3 linked regions of the Oryzias latipes genome follow. The protein of the gene in region 2 binds, or shares a complex with, the protein of the main gene of each other region. Links are inferred from orthologs where the notes say so. Each region holds a gene or a part of one and is shown on either strand. Other genes may lie near its edges.

Region 1 (2,244 bases), on a different chromosome or scaffold from region 2:
GCCTCCAAGACCAAGAATGCAAAGAGCTGAACAAACGGAAAGAGCGGAGTGAGGCTGAAGAGGAGCAGCCCTTCGGCAGCAAAGAGTCCAGCAGAGTTTGCCCACGGGGGGGCCAACACGGCGGCTCGATTCAAAAGGTTTTCCTGACCCAAAGCGACAGCAAACCCACAACCTCGCAGAAGTGTCAAGGGAAGCGTTCCGACCTTGTTTGCCCAGTGTGTCACCTGACCCAAGAGACGGACGACCTCGCCGTCTTCAATCGCCATGTTGACCTCTGCCTGAACCAGGAGGTCCTGCATGAGCTCAAAGGACAGACGACATTTTCCCAGAATCCATCTGTAGTTAAGAATAGCAAAAACATAGGTAAGAGCCCGTAATTACTTCTATTTCTTTTTGCGTTTTTACATTAATTCAGTTGCTGGTTTGTGGCCAAAATCTCTTTATCCATTCAACTCTGGTTTCAAAAAGAAGTCAATGTTTTTAAAGTGCGTTTTTGTTTACCTGGAAAATGCTCCTATGCGTTCCGGAGCTTCTGTCTGGCCGCTTGGTGGATTGTCAGCGGCCTTATGACCTTGGTTTTTACTGCTATTGACATTGTGTGAGAGGTTTGTATTGATTCAGACTGACAAAAGACATCTCATTTCACCCCATGAAGCCTCCTTGGCCCCTCCACCTTGGAAACGGCTAAATCCCCCTCCCACCTTTTTATTTCCCGACAATAAACTGAAGCCTGGGTTCACCCTTAACAAAGCTGTGCCTAAAAACAGCAGTCTTTATTGTTCTATAGAGGTGCTGCAGCTGTGTTTCCTTCTGTATTTTCAGGGAAAATGTTTTTTTTTGTTAAACTCTGCATCACTGGTGTTTGTTTCTGTTTGTAGCCAGTACAAATCTCCCACCAATGCAAGCAGGCAAAGTCAAAAGCAAAAGGTGAGAAATGTTAATACACGTCTCCTATTATTAGCAATTACGGTAGTAAATTAATTATTTCTGCTTTCTTTTCTCTTAGACGAGGCTCACCCTCCTCTCTTCCCTCTAAAAAGTCGAGGAGCCTCGGCCTTTGCAACACCATCGACAAGTTCCTCAGGTGACACTCAGCCATGCAGAGCGCCACTTCCTGTTTGGGTGAAGTTTAGAGCCAGCCGAATCCTGGACGCACATGGACTCACCAGCTCAAACGAACACATCCATGGGCTGAGGCGAAGCACCTTTTAAACCATACTTAAGCCAAACGTAACATTAAAGACGTGGAGCTCATAACATTTTAAGTAAACAGAATAATATTTATTGATAATGTCACCTTTTAATGCCTCGTTTTTATTTGCTAATTTTATAAAGCCAATGCTGTTTGATGAAAGTAAAATTATTTGGGAAATTAATATTTATCTCTTATATAAACAATAATATATTTTGTTTAATAAAAATGCTAAATTAGTTTTATCATGGATAGACTGCTTTCATAATTTATTTTATAGATATTCTGCATAAACATTCTTGTCTCTTTTTAACTCTGCACCATGTTTCCTCCTCATCTTGATCATGTGGGCTGAATTGTTATCATTTATCTAATTCTGCAATCATTTTGGATAAGTGGTCCAAATATTACTCTTCAAGTAATGCCCCCATAAAAACTAAATTCAATACTTCTGTTTAAAATGGAGTAATTTGTATACATTGTTTTTATAATAAATCATACTTTTTTTAAACTGTTGATATTTTTTCAATTTCTTCAAACTGTGTGGTTGTATGCTGGAGCTCTCACACACAGAAGATACATTTCAAAACACAACCTGAAACTTAATTGTCAATTCAGGACATTTACCAAATTCACTTACCGGTAATCCCCTTTGAGGTCAGAGGGATGCTGGAGCCTATCCCAGACACAGTTGGGCAGAGGCAGGGCACACTCTTGATGAGTTGCCAGTCCAATGCAGGACCACGCAACCTTACACTCACATTCACACCAAGGGAGAATTTAGAGCAGACATGTTCTAAGTCTGGCCCGTGTTCAAATTTCCATAAAATCTTTCATAAAATCAATAAAATGCGGCCCCCCAGCACTTTATAAAAACTGTTTGGATAGTTCTTCATTGTGGTTAGCCAAATTACATTTTCCCATTCATCATGAAGAGGCACTATCAGACGAGACATGCTATCTACGACAAGCTAACTGGGAATAAACGGTGTGAAAACTTTGACAGGGACTTTGGTAAAAATAAAAAATAAAAAACATTTAGATGTATTTGC
Region 2 (3,577 bases):
GAAGATGGACGGATGGTGAATGATGGCCATCAAGCAATCAAAATAAAACACTCTGTGAATAAGTTTGCCTTCAAAGCTAAATGGAATAAAAATGTTAACTTTTTGTATTACATTTTTATATCTGTTGTTTCTAAATTTGAACCAAAAAATGTTCCAAGTCTAGAAATATTTTACATTGGAAAAACATTCCTCTAGTGGTCACTTGATGAACTGTCTCCAGTTCCTTTTGCTTTCAAATGAGCTTCAAATCCAGAAGTCAGTTTCTTTTTGTTTTTTTGGTTCATCGTGGTGGTGAACTGAGCCTGACTAACATACAGGGACATTTTGTCAACTGTTCTCCTAATGCTATTTTTTTTTAAATATAGGATTAAATCAACTCGTATTGTGTTGAATTTTCTGATGATGATAGGAAAAACATTATCTAAGCAATGAAACACAGAGGTTTTTTCTTTTATAGAGAAAGAAGGGGATCTTTTACACACATCCCCATCCCAAGATAGTCCGGACTCGTATGCCAACGGAGTGAATCTGGATTCTGCTGCACTCTCAATGGCAGAGATAGCTTCCTGCAGTTATGAGGCTAGGTAAAACGTTATAACAAACTTCAATGGCTGTGCGTGGACGGGGGTGTGTGACGATCTTTGCTCCACAGGCAGGCGGGCGTGAGGAACGGGATGTTTTTTGGCAAGGCGAAGCAGCTGTGCCCCTCTCTGCAGTCCGTCCCCTATGATTTTGAAGCCTATAAAGAGGTGGCTATTAACATGTATGAGATTCTGGCAAGGTGAGAGGGAGCTGAATTCTGTCTATCCCTGCTTTGTTTGTGTAACATAAAAACCCCTAAATTCTGCTTTTTGGCCCTCCACAGTTACACACGTGACATTGAAGCCCTCAGCTGTGATGAAGCATTGATAGATGGCTCTGCCCTGCTTGCTGAATTGGGAATTAGCCCTGATGATTTGGCCCAGGCCATCAGAGCAGACATCAAGGAGAAAACTGGATGCAGTGCATCAGTGGGCATGGGTGAGCCATGTTTGCCTCGCGGTTTTTAATAAGACATAATTGGCTGTGGTCATATGGTATAATTCAAAAAAACTAATCTGTTATGCTCAGGGTCCAACATACTTTTGGCTCGGTTGGCAACTCGCAAGGCTAAGCCAAACGGGCAGTACTTCCTAAAGTCTGAAGAGGTGGATGATTTTATCAGAGATCTGCCTGTGACCAGATTACCAGGTAGTTACACAGCACCCCCTGCTGGCCACAGACATTATTTTACAATCTGCACCTGTTTGTGTTACAATTTGAATAAATAAATATCTTTTTTGTGTTTTTTCTTTTTAGGGGTGGGGCATGTTATGGGCAAAAAGCTGGCTACTTTGGGTGTGACTACCTGTGGGGACCTCCAGCAGGTGTCTTTGTCTCAGCTGCAGAGGATGTTTGGCCCCCGAACAGGACAAACCCTGTTTCGCTTCTGTAGGGGTTTAGATGACCGTCCCGTCCGCTGCGAGAAGGAAAGAAAATCTGTTTCCGCCGAGATGAACTATAACATTCGCTTTACAAAGGTTGAGACTTTTCTTTTTCCCCAGTTGAAGTCTGTTTTTTTTTTACTTTGTGTTTTCTAAAAGTCTCTCTTGTTTTAAATCAATAGGTTGAAGAGGCAGAGAGTTTCCTGTCAAATTTATCCATGGAGGTGCAAAAACGTTTACGGGAAGCAGGACTGCGGGGTCGCAGGGTGACGCTCAAAGTCATGGTTCGCAAGGTTGGAGCACCGCTAGAGTCAGCCAAATATGGTGGTCATGGCATTTGTGATAACTTAGCCAGGTAGGAAATATACCACAGTTTTCTTTGTAGACCGGTGGTCCCCAACTATTTTTAGGCCATGAACTGGTTTAATGACAGACAGTATTTTCATGGACTGGTCCAAACGGGGCTGAAGTTTGCGTTTAAGTTTTTGAAGCTTTCTGAAAAATGTATTTTTCAAATGAAAACGCTACTCCGTAAAATTTAGTTTAAAAAGACTATTTAAAACTGTCTGGAGACATTTTACAGATGATGAAGATCCAACAAAACAAAGTTGTTGATTTGAAGAAGTTGTTTATGATTTGTAAAAATTCTATAAAGACAAAATTACATTTTTTTTAATAGAATGCTACTTTTAACACGGAGAATTCAATTCAGGATTCGGGCTATGTCCAAATTCCCACCCTAACCCTATACACTGCTCTATATAGTGCGCTCGCCATTTTGTAGTGTAAAATTCCCAAATCGCAAAACCAGTCTGCATCGATGTTCACTAGATTGATGGACCACAATGCATTGCGTCGGAACAATTTTTGTCAAAAAAAATGTTTTTAATGTATTTTTTTAATAACTCATCAACGTTTTTATCTTCAGAAGACAGTGGATTCATAAATAATCGAGCCCGCTACAAGCACTGCAGTCCGTGTTTTTATATGATGCTTGCAGAAACATGCGCATTCAAGAATGAGTATTACATGCCTGGTGTGGTTGTAGTTGGAAATTTTTTCTCCATTTCTTCAATGGCTCCTTTCCCCCTAAAGAAACTTTACAAAAACATTTGTTTTATTTTTTTAATTTGATTTTCTAGCTTTGGGTCCTTGATTTAGCCGTCGAAGCAGCCCCTTTAAAAAGGTAGCAGATGTTTTTAAGACATCTGACTGAGGTGAAGGACTTGACATGCGTCAAGAGTAAGTCATAAACGGACAGAATCTGATAGTTTTTGAAAATAAGACAGAAATAATCCCAATTTCTGTACCACTGCTGGTTGGGGACTACTGTTGTTGAGTACACATGGAAACAACTTTCTCCTCATTATTTTCCCCATCCATTTACTTCATTTTAGAACTGTCATGCTCACTCAGCCCACTGACAGTGGACAGCTGATCGCATCCGCAGTCATCAAGCTACTCCACGCCATGCAGCTGCAGGTGCAGGACTTAAGAGGAATTGGCATTCAGGTGCAACTTCTCGAAGGAAATCGGCATCTTCCACCGGACGGTCGGGGTCCTCGGTCATGCTCCATTAAGGAGATGTTGACCATCAGATCCAATAAGAACAGTTAGTTTAATTTGTTTGTACACTTTTTATTGTTGCTTTGAAAGACAAGCAAAATCTAAAGTATTTTTGTCTGGAATGTTGCAGATTATTGTAAGGAACAGTCCACTCCATCAGCTAGCACCTCTTCGCTTATCTCGTCTCCTGCTGAGCCGGTTCCAGGAACAAGCAAAGAACAGCCGACCTGCAGGAAGACACCCAAACATTCACGCACACGTCTCAGCATCACCATTGAAGTTCCCTCGCCTTCCCAGGTACATCTCAGACAATACTTGCTGTTTGGTGGCACCCTTAAAGTTTTTAACCCTCAGTGTTTTTTTTAATGATATCACTCTAAGGTGGATCGTTCTGTGCTGGAAGCTCTTCCCCCAGAATTGAGAGAACAAGTAGAGCAGTCGTGGACCAAGAGAGATGGAATACCAAATAAATGCCATTCACCTGCTCTGCAGCAGTCTTCGCCACACCCCCGCCAAGCTTCCCCTCCTCGTCCAGCACTGTCCAGTCC
Region 3 (2,856 bases), on a different chromosome or scaffold from region 2:
GCAAGTCAGTTCCATCATCAATACAGTTTATTACTAACCAAATCCTATTTCCAGCTTCCGTTTAGTGTGTCGACATCAGAAAATTCCATATCTTGCATTTAAATCTTCTTAGTCTTTACCTCAAGTTGAGGTTCACCAAACGCTGCTCATGTTCACACAGGAAATGGCATTTTTAGACTAAAGGTTCTTCATTTCGACAGAAAAATCAGTCAAAGCCGTGAAGGAGGAAGCAGATCAGACGTCTTCCACATCTGAGCCGCCGCCGCCGCCGCAGCGTAAAAGTCCTCAACCCTGTGAAAAGTTTGACGGTGCAGCAGTGCAGACCCAAAAAGACCCCAGAAGGTGTGTTTACCCCTGACCTGCAAAAAACACTCCAGCTTTTCCTTTTGCTTGATGGGAATGTGCTGCCTTATTCCCTCCACAGCAAAACCAAGAGAGCGGAAGACGAAGACAGTGAAGAGGACAAGATGGACAAGAAGAAGAGGCGGAGGATTAAGAAACCAGAACCAGACAGCAGTGATGAAGAAGGTCTTTTAATGCTCTTTTGATTGATCAGTTTATGCTGAGAAATGAGGAATAATTAAATGAAGATTCTCAGTTTGTCAGAGAAAACTGACATTTTTCTCTTTTCAGTTTATTGTTAAAACGGAGAGATAACATTTATGAGAATAAAGTTGTGAAATTATGGGAAAAATGTGCAATTTTACAATAGTAATCGTGAAATAATGAGGAAAAGTGCTAATATTACGTAAGTGGGTACTACCACTTTTGGTTTCACAAATAAGGAAATGTTAAGTCCAGTCAATATTGTTTTATTAGAAGGATATTGAAAAGAATTTCCAGGACCCTGAAAGATTCTGACCCAAAAGGAGTGGATTTGGCTGTGGCAGTGTTTGCAGAGGTCCAAGCGGATTGTGGCACCTAGATACCAATGTTTAAGCCTTATGGCATCACCATGAACGTCTGCATTTAGTCACGTAATGTGGATTCAGGCTTACACAACCAAGGTCTGCCGTTTTCCTTTTTCTTTTCTTCATAATTTTACAACCCTATTTTTGTGAATATTCCTTCTTTTCTCATACTTTTATGAGTTTATTCTCATGTATGTTTTTTTGTCTTTCATGGCCAAAATACTCCTTTGAATTTCAGTGAAAGTTAAAAACTGACAGGTTTTCTCAACTCTTTCAAATCTGAGACTTTTTAACCTGTTCTGGAAAAACTCCTCCAGTCAGTCGAGTTGTGATCTCAGCTGATCAATGTAACTTCATTTTGGTGTCTGTTTATCCATTTCAGGTGTCATTTATTTGCTCTTTGAATGTTTAGGTCCTTTAAGAAAATAGCACCTTGTATAAACTTCTAGTTAATTTTTTTCTAAAACCTGGGCTCTGTTTCTGTTTCTGTTTTATTTACAGTCGTTCCGGATTCCCCACAGCCCCAAGAGACTCTAACTAGAGAGAGAAGTCCTAAAAAAGAAACGGAAACTGTTCAGCCGTCAAATGTGAGTGACTTCTTAGTTTAAAATTCAAATGATGAGTTGCTTAGGTTCATATAAATGAACCTTTATATTGCAGGGTCACTCTGGGGCGAAGGTGAGGAAGAGGAGACGGGTCCTGAAGTCTCGCACATATCTGGACGCTGATGGGTGTATGGGTATGAAAAAGCAATCATTATTACTATTATAATCACAGTTTCCTCAGAAATATGACTTTATAATTCTTTGCAAATTCAACACACATTTTTTTTCCATCATCTTTTATTGTCTTCATAGTTCAAAGGTGAAAGTTTTCTTTTCCAAAGCTCAGATATGAGTCCTCAAAGTAAATTCTTCATTTGTATTGTCTAAATGATTTTAAGGTTCATTAAAAATGACAAACACAGTTTTAAACCTTTTAAACGCCATAGATTTTTTTACTGAATATTTTTTCTTTTTTTTTACAGTCACAGAAAAAGGCTTTGAGAGTGAATCGTACTCTGAATCCGAGGAGGATTTCCAAGCCCCCAAAGCGGCTCAGACGGCGCCGTTTAAGGCCAAACCAAACCCGGGGAGCAAAGAGGACGACAAGAAAATTCAGAAAAAAGCTCCGGCCAACTCCAACAAAGGAGGAAAACAAGCTTCTATTATGGGATTTTTTCAGAAGAAGTGAGAACATTTGCCCAGATCCGCTGGAGGAGGTCAGTTTTGTTGGTGTGGACTCACTGCTCACACATGGACAGTTTGAAAAACAAAACAAAGCCTGGAAAACCATTTTTATATCCTTTCTGTCTCCTGCTGTAAACACACGGGATAATCAATAAACTCTGAAAATATTGTGTGAGCATGCGTCTTCTTATTTTTAATCCACATTAGAAAGTAGAGAACTTTACAAACGGTTCCTGTGCTGTGGACCAGTCAGACAGGAGGACTTTTGGTTCATTCACACACTTTTGAAAATCAAACCTGGGAGACAGACAGGGTCATTTGTAGCCCCGGTGTTACTGGTTTTTAAAACAGTAATCTTGATGTTGAAGATGGGAAGTGAAGCAGAGGACTCATACCAGCAGGAGGAACACGTGGCACACCTGCAGCTAACGTGAACACCTCCTCCAAGGTCACGGCGCTGTCATCTTCTAAAAGTATAGAAAAAAAATGACCTTTATTAAATTTAGGATGATTTTTATCACGTTTTACGCTTTTATGATACCATTTCACATTTTCACAAATCAGGTAAAGGTTTCACAAATCAGAAACTGTTTAATGTATTTTTTACTATCTAAATCAAAATTGAATCCAGGTTTAAGCAGTCTAGGTCCAGAGGTTTTTCAATAGGACCTGGTCTGAGGTGGACTCGGTTCATAAAATGCTATAAAAATCATCCT

Evidence for each region. Proteins that work in one complex are often made in the same cells at the same time.
Region 1: the proteins of rev1 (region 2) and polk are in contact, whole or in part, in an NMR structure (PDB 2LSI), measured with the Homo sapiens proteins. The link is inferred for Oryzias latipes from reciprocal best matches to the Homo sapiens genes REV1 and POLK. Residues at the interface, in NP_057400.1 of Homo sapiens: Asn1158, Leu1159, Ala1160, Gly1161, Ala1162, Asp1167, Leu1171, Leu1172, Glu1174, Trp1175, Thr1178, Ile1179, Met1183, Glu1185, Asp1186, Gln1189, Val1190; in NP_001374042.1 of Homo sapiens: Lys564, Lys565, Ser566, Phe567, Phe568, Asp569, Lys571, Arg572, Arg575.
Region 3: the proteins of rev1 (region 2) and pold3 are in contact, whole or in part, in an NMR structure (PDB 2N1G), measured with the Homo sapiens proteins. The link is inferred for Oryzias latipes from reciprocal best matches to the Homo sapiens genes REV1 and POLD3. Residues at the interface, in NP_057400.1 of Homo sapiens: Asn1158, Leu1159, Ala1160, Gly1161, Leu1171, Leu1172, Glu1174, Trp1175, Ile1179, Met1183, Glu1184, Glu1185, Asp1186, Gln1189, Val1190; in NP_006582.1 of Homo sapiens: Gly232, Asn233, Met234, Met235, Ser236, Asn237, Phe238, Phe239, Gly240, Ala242, Ala243, Met244.

Annotation. Positions count from the first base shown.
Region 1 is NC_019867.2:13,993,177-13,995,420, forward strand, and holds the end of polk (DNA polymerase kappa), read left to right. Parts: coding exon 1-363; intron 364-878; coding exon 879-927; intron 928-1,006; coding exon 1,007-1,088; 3' UTR 1,089-1,703; downstream 1,704-2,244. UniProt on the Homo sapiens protein: DNA polymerase specifically involved in DNA repair. Plays an important role in translesion synthesis, where the normal high-fidelity DNA polymerases cannot proceed and DNA synthesis stalls.
Region 2 is NC_019879.2:9,999,020-10,002,596, forward strand, and holds part of rev1 (DNA repair protein REV1), read left to right. Parts: intron 1-457; coding exon 458-584; intron 585-652; coding exon 653-781; intron 782-865; coding exon 866-1,020; intron 1,021-1,110; coding exon 1,111-1,230; intron 1,231-1,338; coding exon 1,339-1,559; intron 1,560-1,645; coding exon 1,646-1,818; intron 1,819-2,860; coding exon 2,861-3,075; intron 3,076-3,159; coding exon 3,160-3,326; intron 3,327-3,410; coding exon 3,411-3,577. UniProt on the Homo sapiens protein: Deoxycytidyl transferase involved in DNA repair. Transfers a dCMP residue from dCTP to the 3'-end of a DNA primer in a template-dependent reaction.
Region 3 is NC_019875.2:1,858,992-1,861,847, reverse strand, and holds the end of pold3 (DNA polymerase delta subunit 3), read left to right. Parts: coding exon 1-4; intron 5-200; coding exon 201-342; intron 343-424; coding exon 425-528; intron 529-1,412; coding exon 1,413-1,498; intron 1,499-1,571; coding exon 1,572-1,650; intron 1,651-1,938; coding exon 1,939-2,144; 3' UTR 2,145-2,315; downstream 2,316-2,856. UniProt on the Homo sapiens protein: Accessory component of both the DNA polymerase delta complex and the DNA polymerase zeta complex.